2 linked regions of the Mus musculus genome follow. The protein of the gene in region 2 binds, or shares a complex with, the protein of the main gene of each other region. Links are inferred from orthologs where the notes say so. Each region holds a gene or a part of one and is shown on either strand. Other genes may lie near its edges.

Region 1 (17,023 bases), on a different chromosome or scaffold from region 2:
TACAAAGGGAAGATTTTTTTTGCCAAGGACAACTCCAGGAGCTGCCAGAAATAACACTAAAGGGACTTACTACACAGAGGTGTTTATCAATTTGTTTCTTTTATACAAAGACCTAATAATAGCCCTGAGAAATACCAAAAAATATACTTTCTATTTCTATTCAATTTTGACTCGTGCTTATAATTATAGCTCTTAATAAATTTAGGTAGAAACAGAACCATAAAAATGAGCCTAGTTTTATGAATGGACTCCATACTTTCTAGAGATTATAGTAAATTCTAGGTACCATAATTGTGAAGCACTTTATGAAAATGACTCAATAATTATTTTGTTACTGGATTAGTATAGATTATTATGTGATATTAAATGAATAGCTAACATATTTATGATAGCAATGAAGGTTTATCACTCAAATTTCCTGCTAAAGAAACTGTTGTAAGGAGGTGTTTGGCAGACTGCTCATCACTGCAGAAACTTAGATCTACTTATCATTCAACTACAACCTTAGACTTGGACAAGTTTACTCTGAAATGATCAAACACTTCAAGGGCCCTTGACACAGGCTGTTCTTATAAGTTTCTAAGTAGCTGGCTGGCTGACTGATTGATTGATTGATTGACTGATTTTGACACAGGGTCTCACTATGTAGCCCTGACTAGCCTAGAACTCTTATGTAGACCAGGCTGGCCTCAAACTCACAGAGCTCCTCCTCCCTCTGATTCTCAAGTGCTGGGATTCAAGGTATGAGCTACCACATCCAGCTCCTGAGGTTTTTTTTAATAATAAAAAAAATTTAATTTTGTTTTTCTGTATGTTTTGATGTTTTTCCTATGTTTGTGAACCACTTGCCTGCCTGGTACCTCAGAGGCCAGAAGAGGGCATTCATCTCCTGGAACTGGAGTACAGACAGTTGTTAGTAACCATGTATGTGCTGGGACTCCAATCCAGATCCTGGGCAAAAGCAGCTAACGCACTTAACCACTGAATCATCTCTCCAGCCCCGGTCAATTTATTTTAAGTCTTTATATGCATGTCTGTGTGAAAGTATTCATGTGTGTGTACAGGTGCCCTCAGACCCTGGAGCTGGAGCTACAAGAGGTTGTGAGCTGCTCCAAGAGGGAGCTAAAAACTGAACTCTGTTATGTAGAAGAGCATCAAGTGCTCTTAATGGTTGTGCCACATCTCCAGCCCTTGCCTTGAAATGCTTATGACAGGCAATCTTTATACTGCAGAATCCTCATTGACTTAGCTGAGAGTATCTCTCAGGTACATTTTGGATTGATGATCGTCCTAAGTCTCTTCCATTTCCCTTTTCTTTTTTGGTTGACTGGTTAATAGGTTGAGTGGGTTTTTATGATTTTTTTTTTGAGTTTGAAACATGGCCTCGCCAGATTGTACAGGCCAGCCTCAAGATCATGAATTCAAACAATCCTCCTGCTTCTGCCCATGTGACTGCAAGAACTGAGCACCATGTTGGACCCTTTTTCTTTTCCAAGGCATCAGACCTGCACTTCAGTCTGATCCTCTCCGTGTCTTCTCTATCTCCTCTCACAAGCATTTGTCCCTCAATACCACCCCCAAAATGTCTAATTTATTTGTTTAGTTCCATCTTGGGCTCTGACTTTCAGTAAACCCTGAGTGCTGAAGTAGTAGTAGTAGTAGCAGCAGCAACAACAACAGTAGCAACATCAGTGTTTGGGTCTGGAAATACAACTTCTTTTTTTAAAAAAAGGAAAGGATTCTTCTGAAAGTGAGATCACTCACTGGGTAATCATCTCCCATTAACACCTGAGGATGAGTCACACCAGAGTCTGGGGACAATAAAAGAGAAATGAAATTACAGAGCCTTAACCAGGTCAAAATTTCACGTTTCTTTTGTTCTTGGTCAAGAAAGCAGAACAAGCAGAGTTGAATCATTTTCTGCTCTGCAGCCACAGATGCTTCAGGCTGTCATTTCAACTGTCCAAGTTACCCTCAAGATTTGTCTCTTCAACTGTCCCACCCAGGGATCCATTCCATAAACAACCACCAAACCCAGACACTATTGCATATGCCGGAAAGATTTTGCTGACAGGACCCTGACACAGCTCTCTCTTATGAGGCTATGTCAGTGCCTGGCAAATACAGAAATGGATGCTCACAGTCATCTATTGGATGGAACACAGGGCCCCTAATGAAGGAGCTAGAGAAAGTACCCAAGGAGCTAAAGGGGTTTGCAACCCTATAGGAGGAACAACAATATGAACTAACCAGTACCCCCAGAGTTGTGACTCTAGTTGCATATGTAGCAGAGGATGGCCTAGTCAGCCATCAGTGGGAGGAGAGGCCCCTTGGTATTGCAAAGATCATCTTCCCCAGTACAGGGGAATGCCGGGGCCAGGAAGCGGGAGTGGGTGGGTTGGGGAGCAGGGCAGGGGGAGGGTATAGGGGGTTTTGGGGATAGATTTGAAATGTAAATGAAGAAAATATCTAATTTTTAAAAAAGACTTGTTTCTTCTGCTGAACTGGCAGATTCTTGCAGGGTGGTTCACATATTAGGCAAGACTTTACCACTAAGCTACACCCCAGCCCCATGACTTGTACATACTTCTACTTCATAGAACCTCTAGACCCTTCTCCATGCCCCTCTTTATGACTGACACTACCACAATTTTTTTAGTTGTCCTACAACCTGACAGATTCCTCCTAATGACTGAACAAGTACAAGGACAGTGAATCAAAAAAAAAAAAAATTCTAGAATTAGATTCAAGGAAACTAACAAAAAAATCTTGTTTGTCGTTCTTTGCCAGGAGCCATGGCCTCTACCTGTTTAGCAGTGTTTTCCTATAATTCTTTGAGAGATTTTTGTGCTTCTTCTTTCTTGTGCTTAGCAGTGTTCTCCTGTATTTCTTTAAGTGAGTTATTAATGCCCTTCTTAAAATCCCCTACCACCATCATGAGATATGATTTTAAATTCGAATCTTGCTTTTTAGGTGTGTTGGGGTATCCAGGACTGTGGTGGGCATACTGGGTTCTGATGATGCCGAATGGTCTTGGTTTCTGTTAGTAAGATTCTTATGTTTGCCTTTTGCCATCTGGAAAACTCTGGTGTTAGATGTTCTAGCTGTCTCTGGCTGGAGCTTGTTCCTCCTGTGCTTCTGTTAGCCTCTGTCAGCACTCCTGGGAGTCCAACTCTCTCCTGAGTACCAGTAGTTAGAGCTCTCTCTGCAGGCAAGCTCTCCTGTTGCAGGGAAGGTGCCCAGAGGTCTGGGTCTCAGCTCTGCCTCCTGGCTGAGGATGAAGGCCCAAAGGGACCCTGTCCAAGAAGTTCTGTTCCTTCTGTGCCCCATGTGCTCTCCTGCTCTGATTGGTCTCTAAGAGACCCGGGATACCAGATGGCACTCTCACCTGAGACCTGGGGTCATAGCCCTCTCTATAGGCCAACTCTCCTCCGTGGTCCTTAGATCCTAGGTGTGAATGATCCCCAGATGCTGGTCTGGTGGGTTTCCAGTGTCCCTGTTCCTGCTCACACAGGCCACTCCCAGCTGTTTTGTAACAGATGTTGCATTCCATTCACCAGTGATCCCAAGATCCTGGGTGTGCTAGGGTGCCTATGGCATGGAAAGTCCTCAGGGGACCATGGGACTGTTCGCAGAGTTTGCACCCAAGCTGGCGCCAACCAGAACAAACCCAATAAGCATTTTATTATTAGTTACTTTGGGGCCTTTTATTTTTAACAGAATTATTGGTTTTATAAAACAGCAGATCGATTCCTTGGCATCGAGATCCTTGCAAATGCATAGACTTGATTTGGCTGACAGAGGCCTTGCTGAACCTGAGGTTGATAATTCTCCTTCAGGAGCTGCATAGGATTCAGACCTGTGCATTCTTGATAATTCTTGATAAAATGAATTCAGTCTGGGCACCAGCATGGGTTGCAAGGCTAAGCACTTCAGGGGAAGGTCTCCCATGGACCATCTCTAAATTCCCCATGAGACAAACCTGGTTTGCAAGGAGGTTTGTATCTGTTTTCAACCTTATCCTAAGGATTTTTCTAAGGCTCTGCCTCTCCTCTCCAAAAGATACCAAGAACCATGACTATAGGTCGTGATGGTACCCATGGGAGGAATCAGGTCAATGCTCCCTCCTGCTGGTTAACGCCCACTCATCCAAGGATGAGATGACTATTGATCACGCCAGTTCCATAGTGAAAATAATTAAAAGGAAGGAGATGCCAGGAGCCATGGCCTTGTGGAAATTTTCTAGCTTACATAAACAATCCTGAAACAATCATTCTCATAACAATAAGAATGTTTGTGGGAAAAGAAGACACTGTGACTGTTGGTTCCAGGAACTGAAGATTGCCACCTGACCTTTGGAAAGCCCCCGGACTCTTCCCTGCTCCCTTGAAGCCTCCTCTTGTTTATGCTTATATTGCCACTCCTGAATAAAGTTTTTCAGAGCTTGATCAGGAAATTGACTTGCTCTCATTCTTTGTGTTTCTTGTCCCTCCCACTCTCTCACTCCCTTGCCCTGGGTCCCTGCTGATTATCCCTGAAGGTCAGGACAATTCTTAAGCTCTCTCTCTCTCTCTCTCTCTCTCTCTCTCTCTCTCTCTGTCTTTGTCTCTCTCTTTCTTGCTCACTGAGACAGGGTTTTACTATGTAGCTTGGGCTGTCCTTGAACTCACTATATAGACGAAGTAGGTCTTGAACTCACAGACATCCACCTACTTCTGGCCAAGAGTTGGGATTAAAGGCATGTGCCACCAACTCAGCTTCTTTCTCAAATTCTTAACTGCTTTTTTTTTTTCTTATAAGATGGAGGTCTACAATCTGAGGAAGAAGGAATGTTTCTTTAAGCTTGTCTACATGATACTGAGCATAGTGGAATAGACATATAACCCAGGACTTGGGAAGCAGAGACAGGAAAATTTCCACAAGTCTAGGGGCAATTTGGGCTCTGTAGTCATTTTTATGTAGTTCGGGTTACCCAGTGGCAACCTTCTCTTAAGGCAGAAGGAAAGAGGAGAACAAGAACAAATTATTGGTATTAGGGGCTCCAGAGATGACTCAGTAGTTAAGAGTGCTCTTCTAAGATCCAAGTTCAGTGCCCAGCATCCATCCATATTGGGCAGCTCACACCAACCTAACACTACACTCTGGCCTCCACAGTCATCCACACATAGGGCAAACACACAAAGAGATATACACATATCCACATAAATAAAATAATAAAAACATGTCTTTTATGAAAGCCTGTTATTTACATGACAACACTTTGTAAAATATAAAACATGCTCCAAGTCTGTGCTGAAAATGGAGACCATAGTGCTAAAGACTAGAATTCCTTTCCTGAGAGCCAGATGTGGTAGTTCATGCCTTTAAACCTAGCACTCAGCAGGCAGAGCAGGCTGATCTGTGTGTACGCGGCCAGCCTGGTCTACTAGTGAGTTCCAGGACAGCCAGTGCTACTAAATGAGACGCTCTCCTCGAATTAAAAAAAAAACCAAAATCCTAAGAATTCATTTTCTGAACCCCAGGGCTTAGAGGAAGCAAGCAGAGCAGCACTGGCTGGCTAATGGGAGGGGATGAGCCTTTGTATTTTCACAGAGCTCCCATCGTCGGCCTTCACACGCTGAGAAGTAATTAAATACAGAATAGAACACAAGGCAAGCACGGTTCCTTCTCTCATGTCATCACCACTATATGTTTTCTAGAAATATCCTCCCTCATGTTAGAGATTGAATGGAAGGCATCACACATCCATGCAAGACCACATTCCCCAAAAAGGTCAACTTTAATAGTAAAGAGTTCTGGGACTGGAAAGATAGATCAGTGTGTAACAGTGCTTGCTGCTCTAAGGAGGACTGGGGTTAGCTTCCCAGAACCCATACCAGGCAGCTCATAACTACCTGTTACTCCAATTCTAAGAGAGCCAAGACCATCTTCTGGCTTCCTCAGGCACTCACACTCACATGAGCACACTCATGTGCACACACACACACACACACACACACACACACACACAGGTGCTAGGAAGGAGAGAAGGAGAGAAGAAGTGAGGGGGAATAAAAATTTTAAATAATAATAATAATAAAAATACTGGCTTGCTCATATACAGATTCTCCAATGGAAACTCAATTACTTCTCACCAGCTGAATAGCTAATAGTTGACAAAGACCACCCATTATTAGCAGGCTCAAGTCATTCCCATTTCTAGCCTATATCCTTGTAAAACCCTCTATATGATGAGTTGTAGAATACAGAAAAAAAAGACAGTACCTGGCTGGAGAGATGGCTCAGTGGCACTGACTGCTCTTTCAGAGGTCCTAAACTCAACTTCCAGCAACCACATGGTGGCTCACAACCATCTGTAATGGGATCAGATACTCTCTTCTGGTGTGTGTATGAAGACAGCAACAGTGTACTCACATACATTAAATAAATAAATTTTTTTTAAAAAAATGACAGTACCACTTCCTTGTCCAAGCCTTTCATCATTACCCTTTGCCAGCTTTGATGAAGCAAGCAGCTAAAGTAATAAGGCCCATGTATCCAACAGCCAGAATCCAGAAACTGAATACTGTCGACCACCACGTGCACTGAGAAGCAGCAACTTCTACAACATGGTCACAATCTTGATCATATCTTTATAAGGGGCCCTGAATGACATGGGTAAACCATGCCCAGACTGCCATCTCACAATAGATATGTGCTATGCTAAGCATATATCTAAGAGTGTGGTAACTTATAATATAGCAATAGATAACAAACATATGTGGAATCGAATTATTCTGAATCTCTAGAGTCCTTTGTAGCCGACTACAAGAGTGAAAGTTTGTACTTACTTGGAATGAACTCAACATGCACAAATCCATTGGTTCCCCTCAGTCTTATGCAGGGTTCAGAACTAATTGAAATAGGGAATTTCAAGTGATCTAAAAGGAATGAAGAAAATACAAGTATATAAAAAAAACTTTCAATAAGTATAGCATTCTGAACATCAGCACAAAAAGATGCTTTTTTATTAAACTTGTATAAGGACTGGTCCACTCTGTTATGGTCACATGCAGGATCATGGGGTTGCTGCTTTCTTCTGACCTGGTGTCGGGGGATTCTCCGGTTCTCAGGATTTATTGGTGTTACTGAGCTAAGGGTCAGATTCTACCTCTGAAAAGCTCATCAAAAGACAGAGGAAGCCAAATATATTCCAGGTGTGGTATCCCATGTCTTTAGTCCCAGCACTCAGGAGGCAGAGGTAGACAGGTCTCTGAGAGGCAAGCCTGGTCTACATACCAAATTCCAGGACAGCCAGGGCTACATAGAGAAACTCTATCTCAAAAAATAACCAACCAAACAAAGACAAATGTTGGGCTCCAGGAGTTGCCTCACAAACCACATGAACACCGATCTCAGTCAGACAGAGATAGTTTATTGAGCATAATTGAGCATACAACTCAGGACTGATCAATCAGGACCACAGGTCAGACTTGGGAGCTGACAGCAACATCTGGTCAAGATCCTATAGGGTTTCTTAAGCCTGAGATCTACAGACATCTGTGCCAAGTTGTTCCACCAATCAGGATTCAGGAAATTTCCTTAGGAACATGTCTTTGTTGCATACTTACCCTGCTCCTCTTTGTTGGGGGTATTCTGTGGCAGGGACTTGCCTTATCTAACATTTATGTCTTAACTTCCCAACCAGGATGTCAGCTACCCACATACATGTCTCCTTCTGCCAAGTAGGATGTCGGTTCCCAGGGAGGTCTTGGGAAATTAAACTTTATCTGAAACTTACTCAAAATGGAAATAGGTGCAGGTGTCTCTCATGCTGAAATCTATCCCAGGGTACCTTGTAAAGGCAAATACTAGAAAAGCTTATACCCCTGTTTAGGAAGTGCTGCTGGGTAGTTGGTTCTGTTCCAAGTTTATTGTGGCTAATTATACAAAACAGTTCTAACTAACTTCTATTGTGATTCCTTTCTAAGAACACCAAAGCACAGAACATCCTACTAACAGCAATAACAGCATGTAAGAAAGTTTCCTTATAATATTAGTAACGGCACAGCATGGCAGGCTAGACAGGTAACAGTTACCTAGGCCTGAACATTTTACCTAGTCCTTAACAAAGACAGTTAAATTGTTACTAAAAGAATAAAGCTGAGGGGTTGGAGAGATGGCTCAGCAGTTAAAAGCACTGACTGCTTTTCTAGAAGTCCAGAGTTCAGTTCCCAGCAGCCATGGCTACTATAGCGTCCTTATATACATAAAATAAATAATTCTTTTTTAAAAGGAGTAAAGCAGAATAATATTTATTATATTTTACTAATTAAGCATATGAAGAGTCACCATGTAGTAGGGGGCTCCATGGTTAAGAGCACTGGCAGAGGACCCAGATTCAACTCTTACCAGCCACATCAGGCAGCTCAAAAGAGACTATAATTGCAGTCCCAGAAAATCTGATGCCTTCTTCTGGCTTCTGAGGGCATCAGCATATACACATATATACATCCAGGAAAACACACACACACACACACACACACACACACACACACACACACACACATATATATAATAAGTAAGTAAATAAATAAATTGACAAAGCAGGGGGCCCAAAAGAAGAGGAAAACAGAGGTTAGCAGACTGAGGACCTTCCTAATGCCCCAGAGATGATTAGTTATTAGTCCCAGTCAGAGTGTTTGGGGACAAGCCAGTCCCCCAAAATAACCAATTTGCAATGCAGGAGTTCTCAAAGTACATTTATAAATTCCCTGCTCCACTTTCAGACAACTAGGCTATGATCTTGCTTTTCCTAGAACTGTCATTTTGGAAGGCACCACCTTCCAGCCACGAAGACATTCCTAGAAGGGGCAGAAAATGGACAACTAACGGAGCGAGCAGCAGAAAGAGGAAACAGATTGAAACAGCTCTCAAGCCCTGTACTAGGTTTTCTGGTCCCAGGCATTTGTTAATGACAAGTTGTAATGTGGCCATAGCGTTAACTATGATCCAATGGCACCAGAGTTTAGCTCAGCTGAAAAATATCTGCAACTCTAGCACTGGAGAGGTCGAGGCAACGGGGAGCATGAGTTTGAGGCTAGCATAAGCTATATAGTCAGTTCTAGGCAGCCTGTACTACAGAATAAGGCACTGTCTCAAAAAAATAAGCAAATAACTCAAAAGGCAGAGGCATATGTATCAATCTCTATGAGTTCCCGGCCAGCCAATGTTATATAGTGATACTTTGAAAAAAATAATAAAATAAGCTGGGCGTGGCAACGTATGCCTTTAATTCCAGGAGGTAGAGGCAGGCAGATCTCTATGATTTCCAACCCAGCCTGTCCTATATAGTGAATTCCAGGTAGTTACAGCTATATAGAAAGACCCTGTCTCAAAACAGATTTCAATAGAGTAATAATTACTGCATAAATCTAAAAATCACTATTCGAAATCAAATAAAATCATTATTTGTCAAGTGACTCATACAGTGAATTCTAAAATAACTTTCATTTTGCAAATTAAAAAAAAAGTGAGGCTGAGAATGTCTAAGTATTTTGCTCAAGGTCACACAGTTGGGGAGGAAGAAGGATGCTTCCAAGAGCACTCTAGGACCACAGGCTGGAGCTACAACCCCACCAGGAAGCACTGTGGGTTAGCCTCCTCAAGAGGAACCAGTTTGTGTCGGGGCTGGTACTCAGAAGCAAACTAGAACTAAGAAGAACCTGAAACCGAGCTCCGAGTGGAGAGAGCTTAACCACAAGACAGCAACAGAGGTAAAAAGCAATTCAGAGGTCCTGGGGAAACGCGGGGGGGGGGGGGGGGGTTGGGAGAGGGAAAGGATGATCCGCACCCGGAAGTGGTCGGCATTGCTCCACCCCCACCCCACACCGCAGCGGGCTCACTGCTGGAGCAGCGTTCCTGCCAGCCCTCCAGCTTCAGGTTCAGTGGAAACTTTCTCTCGAAATAGTTGGCGCCGCAGCTCTTTGTTGCCGGGCCACTTACCACAATAACTGTAGGAAATAATTGCATCGGAGGAGTTGCAGAACCACTGTTGCTTCTCAGATTCAGTCAATATGGGAGAAAGCAGCGTCGAAAAGAGAATAAATGGCAACATGATTTAATATCTCCGATACTTTAAACTCGCCAGGAAGACCATCGGACTCGACAGTAAGGAGGACAGATTTAACTTAGTCAGCAGTCATGTGATTTGGAAGCTCCCATCCAACTGCTTCCTCTTTTTATTTGCATGTGTGACTGTGCATTTGTTTTCATATCTGAGCACTTCCTGTAAGGCAAGAGAAGAAAAAAATGACTTAGAATATACTGTTTCTTAATACTCAGTGTAAACTAAAGTATCCAGCACTTTAAAACAGCACATTTTCAGGGAGACAATTAGCTGCCTTACAGGAAACCCTTACTTAAAAGGAAGTCCACTAGCCGTAGTACACACACCCAGTACTTGACAGGCGGATCTCTGTGAGTTCCAGGTTAGCCTTCTCCAGATAGTGAGTTCCAGGACAGCCAGAGCTATAAGGTGAGATCCTGTCTCAAGAAAGAAAGTCCACCGGTATACTACTTTTCTGTGTGCTGGCCACTCCCTCCCACACACTCCTCCTCATACAACGGTTTCTCCTGACCTAGAAAGCTGCATCTAGCTATCTAAGCTGATTTCTCTCCCCTACCCCCTCTCAATTTCTACTCAAGTACAAACAGGTTCAGCCACAAAACAGACAGGCAAGATGACCCCTACACGGGGTCAGTAGCAATTCCCAGCTGGGACCTCACCAGTTTTGAGAATGCACTCAAAAGGAAGGTTGAACTTGAGGCAATAGTGTTGAGTTGGGGGTGGGGTTGGTGCTGGACTCTAGAGCTCTTCCACAGAGTAGCATCTTGAGGTAAAAGTGTGAGTTCCAGTAATTAAAAAAAAAAAAAAAAAAAGAAAGAAAAAGCTGTTTTGTTCTGGCGTGTATTTCATTCAAAGACTACTTTAGAAAAGTGTGCTTCCTTCAGCTGCACGGCTTTTACAGACTCTTACTTTAGGGTTAGCAGCCAAGAAGGCTTACAGCTGTGGCCTACAATCCGGTTCTAGTGGTGACACTCAACTGCTCACTAAGAACTGTTAAGGTAGCAAGGCAATTGTATTTAAAGCAAAACAATAGAAAGATCAGAGCATACTGTGAGAGCAATGGGTCACCTGAGGATACTCCCGGCCACTGGGTGACTGTGAGGGGCCTCTTTTCATCAAGCCTAAAGGAAGGAGGCACTTGAATCAAGGGGCATAGTTTTGATGGTTCTTTATTTTGATCAATAGATTATGTCATTTAATATTTTTCCTACTATATATGCCCATTTCCATAATGGACCCAAATAATAATTATATAATGTATAATTATATACACACCCAAATATGCATTAGCATAATATGGTAAATAGATTCTTCCTTATAGGATGGTTTACCATATTGAGCACATACCCAAATCCAGATCAGGCCAGTTGGGATTGTCCACTCTTCGTACTGTAAATGTTGGAACACATGAGAATAGAAAGTGTCTAAGTCTGATGGTTGTCAGGGGAGACATACCTATCCCATTGTTCAGAGAAGAGATATGATAGCCCCACCCAGGTGGATGTTCCAGATTGCTAGGTGCATTATTTGGGTAGGGGTATTATGCACAGTATAGACAGGTAAAAGGACTAGGCTGCCAGCTGTTATTAGAAAAGCCGGGGGTGGGAGAGTATATATAACCTGATCCAAACAGAGCCCCAAGTTACTAAAATTCCCTGGGCTTACCTGCCTAACTAAAGACAGAAGAAAAAAAATGTTGTGTCAGTAAAAGGATTTAAACACAACTGCATTTTTCTATTTTAACTGGTTCTTTTAATACTTGAGGATGAGGGGCGCATGTGTGGAAGTCAGAGAACAACTTGTAAGAGCTGGTTCCTTTCTACCACATGAGCTGCAGGTATTGTATTCAAGTCATCAGGCTTGGCAACAAGCATTGTTTACTCAGTCAGCCATCTCACAAGGCCAGGCCCTTTTCTGTTCTAGTTTGTTTTCTGAGGCAAGGTCTCACTGAATAGCTCTGGCTGGCCCAGAACTCACCATATAGATGAGGTTGGCTTTGAACTCACAGAGATCCACCCAATTCTGCCTCTTGAGTGCTTGAGTTTGACACAACATACCACTTTCCGTATGCTTTGAAGAAGATGAAGACCTTGGACTGACATGACATGAACTAGAAGGTAGGCAGAAGCCCCAGCTGCCTAGCCGGGAGGATCTGAATTCCATCTCTTGAAACTGTAAAATGGCCAGGCGTGGTGGCGCACGCCTTTAATCCCAGCACTCGGGAGGCAGAGGCAGGTGGATTTCTGAGTTCCAGGACAGCCAGGGCTATACAGAGAGAAACCCTGTCTCAAAAAGACCAAAAAAAAAAAAACTGTAAAATGAGAGAAGCAGCCGGGTGTAGCACATGACTTTAATCTCAGTACTTCGGAGGCAGGATGAATGGATAATAAAAACACAAATACATTATCGAAAGGAAAAGGTAGCCAGGCGTGGTGGCACATGCCTTTAATCCCAGCACTCGGGAGGCAGAGGCAGAGGCAGGTGGATTTCTGAGTTCGAGGACAGCCTGGTCTACAAAGTGAGTTCCAGGACAGCCAGGGCTATAGAGAAACCCTGTCTCGAAAAACCAAAAAAAAGAAGAAGAAGAAGAAGAAGAAGAAGAAGAAGAAGAAGAAGAAGAAGAAGAAGAAGAAGAAGAAGAAGAAGAAGAAGAAGAAGAAGAAGAAAGGAAAAGGTATCAGCTCAGACCAAGTTCTCAACACAAAAGAGATTTATTGGCCCCAGATAAACAGAGGGCAGGAAATAAGAGACAAAGACCACAGACGATGGAGGATGAGGGAGAAGGGGAAGGGAACGAGGGAGTGAAAGGAGGGTATTTGTCTCAGAGGACAAATGACTGCCTCTGGATAGAGGAGTCAGATGTGGCACATTAAAAAAAAAAAATGGCAGTTCATAAAGGTTTAAGGGGAAAACTGTGTTAGGATGAGATGTTTAATGTTAATTGGGCATGTTATAAATTATGTGAGCCAAAGGGGGCTTTTGATTGCTAAACTTCAATGCTTTGATAGCTGGACCTTGGTAGTCAGCCTCAAGAGGAGGAAGTGGCCAAATAAGGGAATAGACCTTGGTGGCTAGCTTAAGGAATGTAATCTGTTGTTGTTGTTGATGATGTGATGATGGTGTGATGTGATGATAATGTGATGATGATGTAATGATGATGTGATGTGATGATGATGATGTTTTAGCAAGGCAGAGGGAGCCATGCTTGCCATGCTCACCAGAGTCCTAACAAGTTAGGAGAGGTCTTGGAGGAGAAACTATAACCACCATTTTAATAAAGCAGCAAAATCCCTGACTACATTTTAAGTATTTGCCATTATATCCGTAGATAAGTGCCGTATTCTCCCTCCCTCCATTAAGGAAATTTCTCTTTGTAACACATGGAGACCACTATAGAAAACCACAACCAATTAAAATGCAGACTTGTGGGGGCTCAGTCCATGGACACATGAACAAAACACTCCCTGACCTAAGGATCAAGAAAAACTTCAGAAAAGAAGGTGGAAAGACTAAGAGCCAGAGACTCAGAGTGTTTGCTGTGAGACTTTGTATCCTAGTAATGGAGAAAGCTACACTCATAAAGTCTTACCAGCATGACTGCCTAAACATGAAGTGAACAATGACAGTAATAGACGAGGCCTCAACCCTAGACAAAGAACTACAGGCAACTAAGGAATGCTGGAAGGAGGAGGAACAGGGGCAAATATGCCAGCTGGTTATCTAATACCAAATGGCCAGACCTGGAGACACACACAACCAGAAATAAGTTATACTTAGGAATATACATATATATGCATGTACATATATGCATGTGATAGCAATCAATGAAAAAAGTGGCTATGAACTTGAAAGAGAACAGGAAGAGCACATGGCAAGGATTGGCCGGAGAAGAGAGAAAGGGTAAAAATGTAATTATATTGTTTCAAAAACTACACATAAAAAATTATATACTCTAAAAATATAACTACTAGGAACTGAGGAGATGGCTCTGTGATTACAAGAGATTACTGCTCTTGCATGGGACATTGATAAACTATTTCTCCACTGGTAAAATGAGTCAATTCAAGCCAGATTAAATATTAAGGGAAACTGCTCTAGTGTTGAGTTCACTGGCCCCAAAAACTGAGGCCAGGGATGGCACCAAGGTGAGGGGGTGGTAGAAAAAGGGCTTGTGTGTGCTTTCAGAGATAGAAGAAGGAAAGAAAAAGAGAAGGATGGGAGACCAAAATGTCTGGAGTATATAAAGCTGCTTGGCGAAGCGCAGCACAGCTCCTGGAAAGTTAAGGGTTGGGGACAGGTTATGAATGCCAGGTAGAAACTGAGGGATACTGGGAGAACCTGGAGGCCAGGTCTGCACCTCAGTCCCTTATCCCTGGGTCTGAAATCAAAGACATGAATTCCAATCCTGGCATCCACGTTGAAAGGTTCACAGCTCCAGCTCCAGGAGAATGTGACTCATTCTGGCCTTGGCAGACATCCACTCACATACAAATGCATACACACACACAGCCTGCTCTACATGATAGATAGCATGTTTCTGTAATCTCAGCACTTAGGAGGTGGAAAGAAGAGGATCAGAAGTTATTACATTGCAAGGTCAAAAGCAACCCCCAAAACAAAACAAGCCTGTCGAGTTACAAAATAAAAAATTTAAGAAAGAAGTACTCTGACTGGGACTTGCTTTTAAAATAAAATAGTAGAGTAAGTGGCCTAAGTCTAGAAGAAACAGTATCAACTACAAATTTGTCACAGGAGAGATGGGAATGTCACATCCCTTCAATCCCAGACTAGGGAGGCAGAGGTGGGCAGGTCTGTGTGAATTCCAGGCTAATTAGAGCTAGTGAGACTGGGCCTTGAGTGAGTGTGGTTGTACACACCTTTAATCCCAGCCCCCTGCAGAGGCAGGTGGATCTCTTTGAACTCAAGGCCAACTTGGTATAAACAGTGAGTTTCAAGACAGCCAGAGATATGCAGAGAGATCTTGTATTAAACAAACAAACAAAAAATGATTATTAATGTGGGTGGCAGAGGCTGCAGGATCATTGTACTCTTCTACTTTTATGGGTGTGAACCCTCAATGAAAAGATATGGCTCACACTTTAACCCCAGCAAACCAAAAGCAGAGGCAGGTGGATCTTTGTGAGCTCCAAGCCAGCCTGATCTATTTAGTGAATCCAGGCCAGCCAAAGTTACATAGTAAAATCCTATCTCAAAAAAACAAAAACAAAACAAAAAAACAAAAAAAAAACAAGCAAACAAAAGGATATGAATGTATTTTTAGCCAAGTTATTCAAGCTGAGGCTGTCAGTACCTAAGGGCCATTTTGTTATCTTTAAAAAATATTCCTTTTTATTTCACATGTTTTTGTTTGTATGTATGCTTGTGTGCCATGTTCATTAAGCCATGTTAGAGTCTGGTGTCCTTGGAGACCAGAAGAAGATGTCCCCTGAAGTAGAGGGACAGTTATATGGTGCTATTTGAATGCAGGAACCAAACTTAGGTTGTCTGGAAGAGCAGCAAATACTTTTAACTTTTAAGCCACCTCCTCAGCCCCCAGTTTGTTATTTTTGCTTCTGAAACTGGAGTCCTTCAATACAATGAGACCATCATTAAACACAAGGATTATTGGAGCTGGAGAAAAGGTCCCGTCCATAAAGTGCTTGTCCCTCTGGTGTGAGGAAGAGTCCAATTCCCAACATCAAAGTGAAAAAAGCTGAATGTAGCATGAAGCTGGACTCAGACACAGTACAGGCAAAGATGGAATGATGCCTAAGGCTAGCCATTCTAGCTCCTGGTTCAGTGAGAGACCCTGGCCTTAAAGGAAGTTAGATGGTGGCAGCTGTGCCTGCCTTTAGTGCCAAGAAGCAGAGGCAGGTGGATCTGTGATTCCAGGCCAGCCAAGACTGCCTAGAGACCCTGTGTCTAACACAGCAATTCTCAGCCCCTGGGTCGAGGTGTATTTATTGTGAATCTGTTTACGGGTGTGCCTCCTTTTCCTTCATAGGTAACCTGCCCGGAGGAGACGGAAGTGGGATGAAGGAAGGATGTAGAGTGTTAGTCCTTTTCAACTTGGCCTGAGGTTTTTTGTTTTGTTTTGTTTTGTTTTTTGAAATTTAAATGTTGCTATGTAGCCCTAGTTGACCTTGAACTCCAAGGCCATCCTCTTGCCTCCCATGTTTTGGGATGGCATATAGAGCTGATTTTATGAGTTGTTTCTCCTAACTTATTTTAATGAGGCTTCTATGAAGATCAAACTGTTCCACATGTTACTCACTCTATATTATACAAAAGAGTGGCTTTCAGGGTGTCCCTTGACCTTGGTGACTCCATTTTACACAGCAGCATTGGCCTCATCTTTAGTGCATTGATGGAGCAGAATGACTCTGCACAAACCAGAAACACAAAATGAAAAAAAAAAAAAAAAAAAAAACTTCTCCCTGAAGGTACAAAGGTGTCACGCATAGATTTAAAGTACATGAAGAACATAGAACACATGGCTGTGTTAAAACTCGTCATGCACATGCTTTTAATCCCAGCACTCAGGAAGCTGAGGCAAGCACAGCAGGATCTCTGTGAGTTCAAGGCCAGCCTGGTCTACAGAGTGAGTTTCAGGAAAGCCATGGCTACACAGAGAAACCCTGTCTCGAAAAAACCAAACAAAAACAAACAAATTATATTAGGCTAGATATGACAATACACTACTGGACTCTACTTGGGAGGCAGAGGCAGGAAGATCAGGAGTTGAAGGTTAGTTTCAACTAATAGTGAGTTCAAAGATAGCCTGGACTACATGAGACCAGAGTTCAATTAGATTAATTAATTAATCAATCAATCAATCAGGAAAACTAAGCCAAAGAACATAACACGAACACTTCGAGTGTCCCCACATGGACACCATAAAGACGGTAACACAGC
Region 2 (16,402 bases):
GAAATGTCTGTATATTTTTATTGGTACTCTCCATGTAGCTGTATATAATGAAAATGATGAATTAGAACAACAATAATTTTACATAAAAGTATATACAAGCATACATTAACATGGCTTTTACATACAACTAGCGAGGTTCACAGAAGATATTATAAAGTCAAACCAGCACACAAGCAAAACTTTGTCCCACACTCAGTATTCTTTAGTTCTTTGTGTAGTGTTAAAGACTCCTGCACATGTGTAGCTGTTGGCCTTTTACATCTCATGTGCAGGCAGCCATGTCAGTGAAACTTTATGGGTGTAGCTTTTGACATTAAGAATCACAGTATCACAGTAAAGTTCGTAACCTTTGGACTCATAATCTTTCGTCCTCCTCTCAGTGATCCCTGACCTGTAGGTGTTGGAGTTGTATTGTAAGTGCTTCCATTGGCACTGGACTCCAGAATTCTGCATTTTGGTTGGTTGTGATTTTTTTGTCGTGATCTCTGTTTATAAAGTGGGAGAAATAGTCTTTCCCAAGCAATAGCACAGCAATTAGTTACCAAATGCCAAATGGCCAACCCTGAAAACATATACATAAGTAATATTATACAAACTGAACAGGTTCTACTTATATATGTGGGATTTTATTTATACAATATACAATATATATATATCAACAATTAATGAAGCGGGCAACACGGACTTGAAAAACAGCAAAGACAAGGGAGTAAGAAAAAAACTTTAAGAGTGGAAAAGGAAAAGTGAAGTGATATAATTATAATTTCAAATAATAGTAATAAAAAAGATCTACTCTGTACCAAGTGGCACACAACACTTGTTATGAAATTAAGGTTTTCAGACTTGAGAGTTATGTAACACCTGATTCTATTGTTTCTCATTTAATCATAATTTTGTTGTAGCAGAATGTTAACATATTGAGAATTCAGGGGATATTTTTTCTTCCTGATATGTGGAATAAGATGTCTTGCAAATATGAAGAGGCAGATAAATAAATGGAGAAGGATGGGTGTGATACCATATCCCCAGAATGGCAGGTATTTTGGGAGTCCAATGTTATCTTTGACTGTATAGCTAATTTAAGGCCAGACTGGTCTATAGGAAAGCTTGTTTCAACCAAAATAAATCATGAACGAATGAATGAATAGGTGGACAATATGTTGAGTGGCATGTACATGTGAGAGTTTTATCACCCCATTATTCATCTTTGGAGAGGAGTGGGAACACACGGTTGGAAACATAACAATTGTTGTGTGGTATTTACAGGTAGTTCCTAATATTACCTACCAATGCATGGATCAGAAACTCAGCAAAGTCCCTGATGACATTCCTTCTTCAACCAAGAACATAGATCTGAGCTTCAACCCCTTGAAGATCTTAAAAAGCTATAGCTTCTCCAATTTTTCAGAACTTCAGTGGCTGGATTTATCCAGGTAATGAATGAGCTTTTATGTGATGCAGAATGTGAAGTAGTTATTTTTTATATCATTGCATTCTTGGCTTAGAAAACCAAGGTGGTTCTAACTAAACTTCCTTCTGTCATCTATTCAGTAGTGCTACAACTTGCTGTAAATCCTTGGAAAAGCTACTTTTATTTAACTGGTTTCAGTTGGATGGGCCACTAGATAAGAATATCTAAGGGCAATTCTAACCTCTACATTATTTAAAACAATTTCATTAGATATTTATGAACCATGTCTTATATGTTGTATGTCTAAACTACAGAAGAAGAATTTATAGATACAAAACCCATACTCCTAATTATTAAGCAGGATAAAATCCTCTTTAACAAATAAGTAAGTTAAAGTCTTGTCCTTATTATTGAACATACAGCACAAATAAAATAAATGTTAACTAATGCTAATACTGTTGTTTATAACAGTAAGTAATAAAATATGTGAAAATAAGGGCAACACACTGTGTCCTATAGAAGAGTGAATGTTTTGTTATGTGTGTGAGAGGATCAGGAAAGATTTTGAGACATGAGTACATATGTAAGATACCTGAAATATTGAAAGTAGAAAAGAGAGTAGAGATTGAAAAAAAAACTAACTTAGGAGGGAGATGTAAATGTCCAAGTAAAACATCAACTATGGGCAAGAAACAGTTACTAAGATTGTCCTTTCTGATTCAGGGCATCTTACCATTTGTTGGAACATAAAAACTTTTAGCCAGTATTTCAGGCGGGAAGCTCAATATATTTTATTGGTTAAAATTGCTCTTTGACAATTTCATACATCTATGTAATGCATACAGCTACTCTTACCTTCACCCACACTGAGTTTTCTCTGATCACTGTTAGCTCTGACCCCTTCCAAAATGTCTCCAACCTATATTCATACCTTCTTATTTATTGTTTGACCCACTGATTTTAACCAGGTTCTCTGTGTGACCATAGATTTAGAAAAACCTATCTGAGACTAGTGAGGTTAACCATTTGATAAGCAACTAAAACCAGTGACGGTTTCTCCCCAAAAATCTAAACTTTGGCAGAGAAGAAATGATTCCATGGTCCCCTCCATGATCAGTAAATATCTATTGGCATGATCAGTGCAGGGAACCACAGCTTCTATGACATCAGATTTGCAAAGTCTTTGTCATGTCCCACATGTCCCTCATGTCCCACAAATCCCTCCTCTCTCTGTCTCTTGGCTCTTACATTTCTATCAGATTCCTCGTCCTTTATAATCCCTGACTCTTGGAGAGGGATTTGTGAATGTTCATTACAGGGGTGATCACAGAACTATGTTTTGCTTCTTCTAGCATCTTGTACATCTAAGAATATCCTCATTCACTACTGTTTACTATAAAGGGAAGTGACATTTGTTAAGGGGTATAAATGTAAATATTTAGACAGAAGTCTGGTACTATGCTAATTTAACTAAACCACAATAACCAATGCCCTCTCTGCACCTCAAACATCAGGGTCATAGGCCTCTCTAAGCAACATTTTTTGAACAGGTTAACAGTACTAGCCTTGGACAAAAATCTAATCCAAGAAAGCTTTGTTACTCCTAAAATAGTTATGCCAGAATTTCAGCACTGGACACATCTTGCCTGGCAGGTTCATGTAATAGTTCATCTGGGCCATAGCTGGAAGAGACCAGTAATGATTTTTCCCCACCAGCCTTCATGACACCTTTCTGCTGAAAGCAAATCAGCAGAGAGAACATTGGTTGTGCTTCAGCTTCATGTCAGTGGGTTGTACTGATCAAGGAGATCCTTAGGTGTTGAAGTTGAACGATGAACCTCTTCTCTACCATATTCCTAAAGCTACTGGAATGTTTCACACATGTGTTTTTGTTCTAAAATTTAGAGTATGGTATTAAAAGTCTTCTGCAGAGCAGACAATACTGTAAATCATTAGTGAACTAGAAAATGTATTATACTCTTTACAGGAGCATGATAGATGGAGAATTCCAAAGGAAGAGGACCACAGCTCTGTTGGTGGAGCCTGTGCTTTCTCCAACGTTTAGCACCATGTGCCCTGTTGCTTGTAACTTTTCCTGAGTCTCTGTCTTCTCTCCTAGTAAAGGAAAATGGTAAATCTCCCTCCATGGTGAAAAGTTAATAAATGAGAGATTATTAAAATTATTTAGTGAGTTTATGAGTTTGAAAACATGCTATCATAATCACTTTATTAAATTGTACATTCTACTTATCCCAGGGAGATAGATTTGAAGAGAACTGAGGTAAGCAGGTAAAAAACTCTAAACAGAATAATCTCTTTTTAATATAGAGAACATAGTTTTTCACCCAGTATAATTGAGAATTGATCTAAAGTATAATGTAAGATAATTCCTTAAAGGTTTGGAGTTTGTATTCAGGAAAAAGGTAAGTTCCTCTTCCCTTAGCTCACAGGATATTTTGCATTAGAGCAAAGCAGACAATCTACTCCTGTGCCTTTCTTTAAAAAAAAAGATAATTTTCATTATGTAATTTCAAATGTTGTCCCTTTTCCTGGTTTCCCCCCCTGAAAACCCACTATCTTCACCCCCTCCCCCTGCTCACCAACACACCCACATCCACTTACTGGCCCTGGCATTCTCTTATGTTGGGGCATAGAACTTTCACAGCACCAAGGGCCTCTCCTCCCATTGATGACCAACTAGGCCATTCTCTGTTACATATGCAGCTAGAGCCATGAATCACACCATATGTTTTCTTTGGTTAGTGGTTTAGTCCCAGGGAGCTCTGGGGGTACTGGTTAGTTCATATTGTTGTTCTTCCTAGCACTGCAAACCCCTTCAGCTCCTTGGGTACTTTCTGTATTTTATTCACTGGGGACCCTGTGCTCCGTCCAATGGATGGCTGTGAGCATCCACTTCTGTATTTGTCAGGCACTGGCAGACCCTCTCAGGAGACAGCTATATCAGGCTTCTGTCAGAAAGCTCTTGTTGATATACACAATAGTGCCTCAATTTGATGGTTGTTTATGGGATGGATCCCCAGGTGGCAGTCTCTGGATGGTCATGCCTTCAGTCTCTTCTCCACACTTTGTCTCGGTAACTCTTTTCATGGGTATTTTGTTCCCACTTCTAAAAAGGATTGAAGTATGCACACTTTGGCCTTCCTTCTTCTTGAGTTTCATGTGTTTTTTGAATTGTATCTTGGGTATTCTGAGCTTCTGGGCTAATATCCAGAATTAAGTGCATATCATGTGTCTTCTTTTATGACTGGGTTACCTCACTCAGGATGATGCCCTCCAGGTCCATTCATTTGCCTAAGAATGTCATAGATTCACTGTTTTTAATAGCTGCATAGTACTCCACTGTGCAAATGTACCATATTTTTTGTATCCATTTCTCTGTTGAGGGACATCTAGGTTCTTTCAAGCATCTGGCTATTATAAATAAAACTGCTATGAACATAGTAGAGCATGTGTCCTTATTACAAGGTGAAGCATCATCTGGATATTTGCCTTGGAGTGGTATTGCTGGATCCTCAGGTAGTACCATGTCCAATTTTCTGAGGAACCACCAAACTGATTTCCAGAGTGGTTATATCAGTTTACAGTTCTGCCAGCAATGGAAGAGTGTTCCTCCTTCTCTACATCTTGCGAGCATCTGCTGTCACTTGAGTTTTTGATCTTAGTCATTCTGACTGGTGTGAAGTGGAATATCAGGGTTGTTTTGATTTGCATTTCCCTGATGACTAAGGATGTTAAACATTTTTTTAGGTACTTTTCAGTCATTCAGTATTCCTCAGTTGAGAATTCCTTCTTTAGTTCTGTACCCCATTTTTCAATATACACAATCATAATCATATATGTATGTATATGATTTGGCAATAGAATCCTAACAGAAAGTGGAAACTTGAGAAAGAATCAAACTTAGTTGCCTCATTTAGAAGTGGAATGATAGAAACTCACAGAAATTAATGGGTTCCCAAGATCATGCAGGAAGAATGGAGAGTTAACATGGCTCCATGGATTCCTCTTGCGATATTCTTTTTAACATACCTCTACCTTTTGTTAAATTACTAAGGAATAACCAAATCACAGACCAAAACTCTTTTATTACCTATGAATACTCCAAAGAAAATAGGAAAAGTGAGGGAAGGTAATTGGGTTAGATTTGGAAGTGACTCTTTTGCTAAATGTATCTGGCATGCATCTATGACAACATCTGTCATGAATCACTGTTGGCTGCGTCTGAGTTCTGTGGCTAGCTTGTCTCTGTGGAAGCTTTACGTAGTACAGCTTACATTTATCTTGGAATAAAATTTAGAATATTTCATTGAGCTTGTGAGTCTACACTATTCCCACTCTTGCCATACCTTTATATTATTCTTCCTCAGTTTCCTTGTTGCCCTTCAGTCACAGAGACTCTGTTGTGGCTCCTCCGTCTGGCATGCCTGCTAACTACTACAACTTTTGGATCGCTGTTTTCTTCATATATTCTTCACATTCGCTCATATTGATCATTGAAATTTCCACTTACTTATTCTCAAGTGTAATCTGCTTTTATCTGGTGAGAGAGGGTCAATTCTTTTGATGTGAATATTCTTAACCCATTTTCTTCTTCTTCTATAAAGCTTACTCATGTCCCTAATAATTAACATTTACCTGTGATAATGACAGACTCAAAATAACTAGCCATCATATATCAGTAAAGTTTTGTAAACATTTATGCCATTCTTGACTCTTGACACCTATGTGTCATTATATATGCCTTTAAAATTAACTTTCACCAGTAATTTATCATGACTAGCAAATAATGACCACCCATATTGCCTATACTCATTAGTTGTAAAATTATATCTATGTCTGGAAAAAATGCATAAATTAATCTAAGACTACTACATATCAACTGTCTTTATGTACCCCAGTTATGATCTTGAATTGATTTTTTCTAATGGATTTGCTGCCTGACATAGTGTGATAGTTTATCATCACTGTAGCAAGTGTGAAAATGACAAATCTGCAGAGTTCCTCTCCTGCTCACACCATCATCACCTGTTTTGCTCTGTACAGTTTTCTCTTTACAATAACATGGTATATCATATCTGTTTGTATCATAGTATGGTAGGGACTGTTATGTCATTAGAAAGGGTTTTTTTTTCAGCAAAAATACATAATTGGTATCTCTTTTGCCCATAGGTGTGAAATTGAAACAATTGAAGACAAGGCATGGCATGGCTTACACCACCTCTCAAACTTGATACTGACAGGAAACCCTATCCAGAGTTTTTCCCCAGGAAGTTTCTCTGGACTAACAAGTTTAGAGAATCTGGTGGCTGTGGAGACAAAATTGGCCTCTCTAGAAAGCTTCCCTATTGGACAGCTTATAACCTTAAAGAAACTCAATGTGGCTCACAATTTTATACATTCCTGTAAGTTACCTGCATATTTTTCCAATCTGACGAACCTAGTACATGTGGATCTTTCTTATAACTATATTCAAACTATTACTGTCAACGACTTACAGTTTCTACGTGAAAATCCACAAGTCAATCTCTCTTTAGACATGTCTTTGAACCCAATTGACTTCATTCAAGACCAAGCCTTTCAGGGAATTAAGCTCCATGAACTGACTCTAAGAGGTAATTTTAATAGCTCAAATATAATGAAAACTTGCCTTCAAAACCTGGCTGGTTTACACGTCCATCGGTTGATCTTGGGAGAATTTAAAGATGAAAGGAATCTGGAAATTTTTGAACCCTCTATCATGGAAGGACTATGTGATGTGACCATTGATGAGTTCAGGTTAACATATACAAATGATTTTTCAGATGATATTGTTAAGTTCCATTGCTTGGCGAATGTTTCTGCAATGTCTCTGGCAGGTGTATCTATAAAATATCTAGAAGATGTTCCTAAACATTTCAAATGGCAATCCTTATCAATCATTAGATGTCAACTTAAGCAGTTTCCAACTCTGGATCTACCCTTTCTTAAAAGTTTGACTTTAACTATGAACAAAGGGTCTATCAGTTTTAAAAAAGTGGCCCTACCAAGTCTCAGCTATCTAGATCTTAGTAGAAATGCACTGAGCTTTAGTGGTTGCTGTTCTTATTCTGATTTGGGAACAAACAGCCTGAGACACTTAGACCTCAGCTTCAATGGTGCCATCATTATGAGTGCCAATTTCATGGGTCTAGAAGAGCTGCAGCACCTGGATTTTCAGCACTCTACTTTAAAAAGGGTCACAGAATTCTCAGCGTTCTTATCCCTTGAAAAGCTACTTTACCTTGACATCTCTTATACTAACACCAAAATTGACTTCGATGGTATATTTCTTGGCTTGACCAGTCTCAACACATTAAAAATGGCTGGCAATTCTTTCAAAGACAACACCCTTTCAAATGTCTTTGCAAACACAACAAACTTGACATTCCTGGATCTTTCTAAATGTCAATTGGAACAAATATCTTGGGGGGTATTTGACACCCTCCATAGACTTCAATTATTAAATATGAGTCACAACAATCTATTGTTTTTGGATTCATCCCATTATAACCAGCTGTATTCCCTCAGCACTCTTGATTGCAGTTTCAATCGCATAGAGACATCTAAAGGAATACTGCAACATTTTCCAAAGAGTCTAGCCTTCTTCAATCTTACTAACAATTCTGTTGCTTGTATATGTGAACATCAGAAATTCCTGCAGTGGGTCAAGGAACAGAAGCAGTTCTTGGTGAATGTTGAACAAATGACATGTGCAACACCTGTAGAGATGAATACCTCCTTAGTGTTGGATTTTAATAATTCTACCTGTTATATGTACAAGACAATCATCAGTGTGTCAGTGGTCAGTGTGATTGTGGTATCCACTGTAGCATTTCTGATATACCACTTCTATTTTCACCTGATACTTATTGCTGGCTGTAAAAAGTACAGCAGAGGAGAAAGCATCTATGATGCATTTGTGATCTACTCGAGTCAGAATGAGGACTGGGTGAGAAATGAGCTGGTAAAGAATTTAGAAGAAGGAGTGCCCCGCTTTCACCTCTGCCTTCACTACAGAGACTTTATTCCTGGTGTAGCCATTGCTGCCAACATCATCCAGGAAGGCTTCCACAAGAGCCGGAAGGTTATTGTGGTAGTGTCTAGACACTTTATTCAGAGCCGTTGGTGTATCTTTGAATATGAGATTGCTCAAACATGGCAGTTTCTGAGCAGCCGCTCTGGCATCATCTTCATTGTCCTTGAGAAGGTTGAGAAGTCCCTGCTGAGGCAGCAGGTGGAATTGTATCGCCTTCTTAGCAGAAACACCTACCTGGAATGGGAGGACAATCCTCTGGGGAGGCACATCTTCTGGAGAAGACTTAAAAATGCCCTATTGGATGGAAAAGCCTCGAATCCTGAGCAAACAGCAGAGGAAGAACAAGAAACGGCAACTTGGACCTGAGGAGAACAAAACTCTGGGGCCTAAACCCAGTCTGTTTGCAATTAATAAATGCTACAGCTCACCTGGGGCTCTGCTATGGACCGAGAGCCCATGGAACACATGGCTGCTAAGCTATAGCATGGACCTTACCGGGCAGAAGGAAGTAGCACTGACACCTTCCTTTCCAGGGGTATGAATTACCTAACTCGGGAAAAGAAACATAATCCAGAATCTTTACCTTTAATCTGAAGGAGAAGAGGCTAAGGCCTAGTGAGAACAGAAAGGAGAACCAGTCTTCACTGGGCCTTTTGAATACAAGCCATGTCATGTTCTGTGTTTCAGTTGCTTTAGAAGAGTATTGATAGTTTCAACTGAACTGAACGGTTTCTTACTTTCCCTTTTTTCTACTGAATGCAATATTAAATAGCTCTTTTTGAGAGGTCTTCATTCCAATTTCATCTTCCATTTTATGTCATTTTCTTTTCTTTTTTTTTTTTATCTAATTCTATAAGAAATATGATTGATACACGCTCACAGATAGCCTGGCCAATCCTAAGAATGCTATATTTATTAAATACAATTCCTAGTATACTTTTACTTTTATAAATTCAGTTATCGTTTTTCATGCCTTGACTATAAACTAATATCATAAATAAGATTGTTACAGGTATGCTAAGAAGGCCCATATTTGACTATAATTTTTTAAGAAAGTATGTAAAATATACTTTGTCATATTGTCACTGAATGTCATTCTTAAGTTATTACCTAAGTTATGGATGTCACAGAGTCAGTGTTAAAAATAATTTGGTTGATAGAAATATTTTTAATCAGGAGGGAAAAGTGGAGAGGGGTGCAGGAACAGAAATCATGATTTCATCATTTATTCTTGATTTTTCCGGAAGTTCACATAGCTGAATGACAAGACTACATATGCTGCAACTGATGTTCCTTCTCATCAAGGATACTCTCTGAAGGACTTGAGAACATTTTGGGGAGGAAGAAAGGTCTAACATCCTTTTCCTTCATCATTCTCATTTCTGGACATGCCTTGTGAGATGGATGAATGTTGGGAGTACACATTTCTGCTTTCACCTTATTTCAGTCAGCATGAACACTGAATATATAATGTCATTTCACAGTGTGTGTGTGTGTGTGTTGTGTATGTACATATATGAACCTGTACATGTGTTTAAGTTTAAAGAGAAAATAGTGTACAGAGCAGCTCTATATTTGTGATAGGGCTTTAAATAGTTGAGCTAATTCAGAAAAGTATGGAGATTTCTTGGTAAAGGAAACCAAAGTAGAATCATTACAAGATCTAACAATAAAAATTTTGAAACAATCCTACAAGTAAATATATTGGATTTTCTTGTCCATTAAGACAATATTCATACTATTGAAATTATGGAAACAACCCTTGGAAGGTTAATGCATAGAGACAGAATGCTATCTACTTGCAGTGGAATGTGATTTGACCTTGGAGAAGAAGCAAACCTTGCTACTTGTGAGCAGATGCATAAAGGTGGAGGTTTTTTATTGTAAGTGAAATATGCCAGGCACAGAAGGAACTGGCCTTTCAGGAACTTTTGATGACATGAGCAAAGTTAGAAAAAATAATATGCAGAACAATAGAAGAGGAAGACAAAAGAAAGACAGCCCTAGGATGTATTCTTCACAACGATTTTAAACAATATGCTTGAAAGAGAATGAAGTTATTAGTATCAATTAAGATGTCTACAATTTTCATAATTCCATTCAAACTGGAACATAGCCACCTAATTATTTGTCTCTTGTTAGCCAAGTGAAATAGCAGATCAAGAATCTCCCCATTTTTCTGATATAAAAACCCAAATTCTAATGCAGTAAATGTCTTGTCAATCAGCCAGATAGCACAGAAGAGGCAAGGCGACAGTCTGTGCCCCTTCCCTCTCACAGAAACTCCTGTGCACTCTAGCCCACTGCTTCAGGCTACAAGCTAGAAAAGCAAGAAGTGAAAGTGCCACAGTTCTCTATGTGGTTAGTGCCAGTCAGGGTCATTCAACTTAAACCATGAGTCATTAAGAAAATACATATGCATGCATGCATTAATGCACAGAGTAGTTTATTTATAACAACTCTTTCCATAAAGGGCTGGGGAGTTTTCAACAAAATATAAAGGAACAATTAGTTTAATCAAAAGAAAGAAATATAGGCAGAAGAAAGAAATGAAAGAAAGAAAGGAAAGTTTTAACTGTGTATTCCAGGTTTAATTCTAGAGATCTTCTGGAATTTTAGAGAGTGTGACTTTTGGAGAATTCCTAAACTCATTTTCAGATTATATTACGTATGTGACTTGGCCTTCATCTGTCTGAGAGCTAAGAAAGAAATGAAGATCATGCATTTATTATTAGGCCATTACAAACTAATAAATATAAAGATAAAAGGGAGACTCTGTGGATGAGTCTCCCTCTTGGCTTTCTTATGGGTAGTCAGAGAGAAGCACTCAGTAGCCTTATCCTTGACAACATTTTTGTCACATTTGTTTTCCCAGTCTGTAGGACAACAGCAGTCCTTATGACTAAAGTAGATTGTATCTTTTTTACCTAGCTTCTATTCATCTGTGTTGTCCTAGCTTCCTTTTTGAGTCTACAGCCTTTGAGAAATCACTAGAAGTCACTGGAACCTCATGCTTTGACTTGAGGCAGTCCTCATATGTGTTCCTAGGTACTCGAGGGGTCAGTTGGGAGACTGGGGAGCCATATCTTAACCATCAGCTTTGCTTCCTTGGTGTTGAGCATCATGCCTGACAAAGTAAGCAGACAATGCCTGTATACGTGAAGAAGAGGAGAATCATTAATGCATGTTTTCTTGGTGTGCTGTTGTCCTTGATACATTCCAGTTCAGAATCTAAAGTCCTAGGGATCTTAGCTGTCAACTTAGTTTTCCCTGTCTGTCACTTTGTATGGATGATTTAAATTGCTTCTTCACTTGGTTGCTTGACACCATGTATTCTAAAATTTTGTGGAAGGTGTGTGTTGGGGGGGGGCGTAGTTCTAACAATAGTGTTCTCTAGTGGATACATTAAAATCATATTCAGCTAATTAATATTTGATTAAGTTTTGCATGCTATACCGATTTGATAAACATTCACAAAATCACAGGCTTCAAGATTTTTCTTAACACATCCAAAGTACACAGGCATTAAATGGGCAAAACTAAATATCAAACTGACTTTATTTAATAGTTTCTCTACTGTTCTCTTTTGTTTTATGTCAAGAGTTGAATGCCACTGTTCTGTATTTTTAATTATTTATTGTTTGCTATTGTGAGAATTCAAAGCCAGAACTTTGAGGAGCTGACAGAGGCACTGTGGCCTATGAAGACAGTTTTTGGAGTTAACAATTTCCTTGGTAACTATGGACTATGTCTCCACACTTCAGCTCTCATATCTGATGGAATAAACTCCTTTCCAGGAGGCTTCTACTTATGCTAATGCACCCAAGCAAACAAGGAGGCTAATAGAACCAGCTGTTTCTGTCTTTATAGCAATTTCCCAACATTCTACACTTGAGGATTTCTTCTGTCACATGATTTTTTTCATTGGGCATTCTTTCAATCCTTCATTAAATGGCCGAGACTTCTCACTAGACCCCAACTCAATGAAATTCTTAAGCTGCTAGCATTGAACAACACTGACTTTTTCAAAGCACCTTGATAGGGAATTTAAGCTGGACCATCTGAAGCAGGAAAGTCTGTTGTTTTGATGGAATTTCCTAATGGTACCATTGTGGCTTTATTTTGCCTTGTTAATGTAAGGGATTCAAAGCATTTCAACTTACTACTCATAGTTCAAGCATCTATTTTGCAGATGCACTGAAAATTAAGAGATTGGAGAGTTTGTCATATATATTTCCATCATCAACTATTCTAGTTCTTACTAAAGAAGGAGGGTGCAAAAATTTGAAGGATATGTTAAAGTGCCTTCTATACTTAATGATTCTTCTAGAAAAGGCAAAGTGTTGATCTTGTTCTTTGTTATGGTATTATATCTTCTCATGGTAATTTGAAAGAAGTTTACATACCAATTTCAGTTTGTTTACCTAGGCCTTGAGAGTCATTCTACAGTACACGATTAGGCTACTATGAAGACAAAAGAAATCATTGTGGGGAAACTCAGTACAGCTCTAGATTTACCTTTTATAATAGATGAATCCCAGAATGATAAAGATCAAGCCTGGCATGATGTTAATTTAGTGGGCTAGGATCCTGGAAACCTCCTAAAATAGGACATCCCATGCATTTGGCCTTAGCCAGTGAGGCATCTCTGAGAAAGTGTAGAAAAACTTGCAAGGAGGTTCAGTGCTCTGAAAGACACAGAGTCAAATGTACATGTAATTCCAGTTCTTCTTTTATATATGTGTACTTTACATAGTCCCTGAAGTATCGAGAGGCTCAGGTATAGGTGCTACCACCTTGATAGAGTTCACTTAGCCAAAATGCAGAAATGGATGCCCAGAGAGAATAGATTACTTGTCCTGCATCCTGTAACTTAAAATGTGTTAATAATCATCATAATAAATTCTATCTGCCAAATATTTCATATGTGCATGAGACTGTTTTAGTTTAATTATTAAAATTGCTTTCTGATGCAGCTCTTAGCCACATTGTCATTTCCCATACAATGAAACTGAGACCAAAAAGCAAATTCTCCAATTCCAAGGGTAGAATTCAAGTAATCCTGATATCCAGAGCTGCTAATTTTTTGCCACACAGTAGACTGCTGCAGTGTCTGGGCTTTTTTGCTGGGGCTCATTCACTCACTAACGGGAGAATCCTGTGGACAAGGTCAGCAACTCCCTTACCATCTAGAAATTGAAGGTTTCAAAGGCACTGCATGTGACTTTCCTTGATTTCTATGGAAATGAAGATGGTCCCTCCTGTGACAGTGCTAAGTGCCGAGTCTGAGTGTAAATGTGCTTTTTGGCACAAATTGTTCTGTTCTAATAGTGTTGATTATAATTATAAAATAATGTGTTTCTGAAAGGCTGCAAGCAATTCTGGGAATGACAATAAGGGTTTCGAAACAACATGGTATTTATGTGAGAAGTGTTTTGTTGAAAATTAAACCTGTGTTTAGGAGAAAGGATCCTGTTGTTTGCTCCTAAGAAACTATCACACCATGTAATTAAATCAGAGCCAGTTGGTTGCCAATTGGAGTTCTTGTCTCACATGAACAATATTGTATCACCTACAACAAACAAGATATGACTGACCAGAGGTAGCCAAGACTCTTTACCCAAATCCTGTTTCTCTATCTTCTCAGGGCCCAGAAAAAAGATGGAAATGCATGGTCAGTTTTTTTCCAAGGCTGGGAATTAACCTTGTAGGGTGAAGCCTTCCTCAAGTTCATCTCAGATTGTCCGTAAGGAATAGGTTTTTCATTCAAGGGCCTTTTATAGGAGGCTGTATCTGTAAATAAGTGAGGAATTCAATGTTTGAGAGGCTGTCTTGACTTCCTTTCTTGGGAGGAAAAACAAAATCCTTCTATGAAGATTAGGAATGTCTTCGATGTTCTCAGACCTCAAAGGCAGAAAAAAGTATGCAGTGTAATTTGTTTGTATGTATCTCTCTTAAAATAATATCTACCATAACATTGTCTCCCAACCCGGATTTGTGTTTTATTTTCACCAAGGACATCATAAGGTTTAAAGCAGATCTTGCAAGGGACGTCATAAAAATAGATATATGACAGGATGGTAAAGTTTACCAGGCTGAAGAACCACTTGATGATTTTGGCTATATTTAATTATATAAATTTCTGCTTTTATTATCTCTCTTGCTAGAAATTTTATTTGATAACTAGAGTTTAATAATCTGTATTTTTAAAAATATTCTATGTGCAATTTTAAGTATAAACAGATCTGGAAATTACTATTTAAGAGGCAACAGCCTATAATGTACCATGTTTAATATGGCCATGTGCTCTGTCCTTGAGATTTACTGCTGAGAGCCAAAGAAAGATCAACAAAATGGAACGGGAAACTTATTTATTTATTTATTTATTTATTTATTTATTTATTTATTTATTTATTTATTTATTTTAAAGAAAAAGGTGCTTCATTTATCTGATGATTTTATTCTTTTACACTGTGTAATTGATTCTTCTCAATTCTATCTGATCAGACTCATGTGGAAGAATCTGTCCAGTTTGATGTAATCTTCAAACATCCACATAGAAGTTATAATCTGACAGTCATGTGTTTCTCCTGGTTTCTACATTATATGTTGCCTTCTTCATCCCCTTTTGGAATTTGAGATACATAAGCTTAAATCAGAATAATATCATGGTCTGTCATGAACTCTCTGAGGCATCTGTTGACAGCTTTAATTTATTGGTTTATCAACCCCAAACATACCAAGTCTAACTTACCTCCCATTTGTAAACTGAATATTCACTTGTCACTGACATACACAGCTGCAACAAATGGCCTTCTCTGTAAAGCACCAGGCTCTCCTGCACAGACTTACCACATAATTGTCAGTCTTCCCAGGAAACCCTTTTCATTCCTGTTGAGGGGAGGTAAGGCAGTGAGCACTAATAGCTTAAATTCAGTCATTTTGACCTTTAAACTACCAACCCTGAATCTTCTGGAGGAGTCTATGGCTCCCCAGTGGGAAACGCATGCTGGAGAAACTTACTACTTGCAAAAAGCACTTTTGAAATAAGCTGTGGGGATGAATCTCTGCTTAATGCTGTGCTCAGCTCACTGCAGGGTCCTGCGGAGTCTTTACTCTTCATCTTCTGCAGCATGGGCTGTGGCCTGAGAGCTGCACTGCTAAGTGTAGGGAGCCTCCTTTCTGCCACTCACTGAATTAGGGTCTGACCAATTGTGTCATTCAGGGTGCAGACTAGCCACTAGAAAACTTCCTCTGAGCTCAAGTATCATACCCCGAGAACGGCACAGAGAGGTAGGACCATTATTTTTGCAGGGCATGAGTTGCCTGCAAATTAGATGGGTGTATTTTTTTATGGTTAATGTGCTGGTTATTTTTACTTATCATGATTGATGAGTGGTAAACAATGACCTCTATAAAAATACATGTGTGTTTAGAATATGAGTTTATTAGAGGGAAAAAACAAAATTTAGCAGAGAGATGCAGATGTGGAGAGAGACAGGAGAAAGGGCTAGAGATGGATATCAGCAGTTGGGGGCAGAGGTGTGCATCTCTATAATGTGCCAGAGACCTGGTGTGGAGATGCTTCCAGGAGTCTATGGGGGTGTCTTTAACTTCAGCTAAGAGATCCTAGCACTGGCAGATACAGAGCTTGAAGTGGCAACCTCCTTTATAGCCAACTAAGATCCCTCAGTGGAGGGATAAGGACAACAACCCACTCACAAAACTTTTGACCCAAAATCTGTCCTGTCTGCAAGAAGGGACAGAAATGGAACCGAGATTGAGGGCATGGCCAATCAATGACTATCCCAACTTGAGACTCATCCCTCTAGACTGAAACACAAAGAAAAGGGCAAACATGGGCAGAAATTTGGACCCTGAACTTATGTAGCATATGTACAGCTTGGTATTCATGT

What was found.
Region 1: the proteins of Tlr4 (region 2) and Ly96 are in contact, whole or in part, in a crystal structure (PDB 4G8A), measured with the Homo sapiens proteins. The link is inferred for Mus musculus from reciprocal best matches to the Homo sapiens genes TLR4 and LY96. Residues at the interface, in NP_612564.1 of Homo sapiens: Gln39, Met41, Glu42, Asp60, Ser62, Phe63, Asp84, Ser86, Arg87, Thr110, Gly111, Val132, Val134, Glu135, Asn156, His159, Ser183, Ser184, Asp209, Leu212, Arg234, Val259, Glu262, Phe263, Arg264, Asn265, Glu266, Arg289, Ala291, Tyr292; in NP_056179.4 of Homo sapiens: Met40, Tyr42, Ile66, Pro67, Arg68, Arg96, Ser98, Asp99, Asp100, Asp101, Tyr102, Ser103, Phe104, Arg106, Leu108, Lys109, Gly110, Glu111, Thr112, Thr115, Thr116, Ile117.

The regions. Positions count from the first base shown.
Region 1 is NC_000067.6:16,681,581-16,698,603, reverse strand, and holds the start of Ly96 (lymphocyte antigen 96 isoform A precursor), read right to left. Parts: upstream 10,149-17,023; 5' UTR 10,097-10,148; coding exon 9,985-10,096; intron 6,921-9,984; coding exon 6,831-6,920; intron 1-6,830. UniProt on the Homo sapiens protein: Binds bacterial lipopolysaccharide (LPS). Cooperates with TLR4 in the innate immune response to bacterial lipopolysaccharide (LPS), and with TLR2 in the response to cell wall components from Gram-positive and Gram-negative bacteria.
Region 2 is NC_000070.6:66,832,628-66,849,029, forward strand, and holds the end of Tlr4 (toll-like receptor 4 precursor), read left to right. Parts: intron 1-1,266; coding exon 1,267-1,433; intron 1,434-6,601; coding exon 6,602-8,852; 3' UTR 8,853-13,954; downstream 13,955-16,402.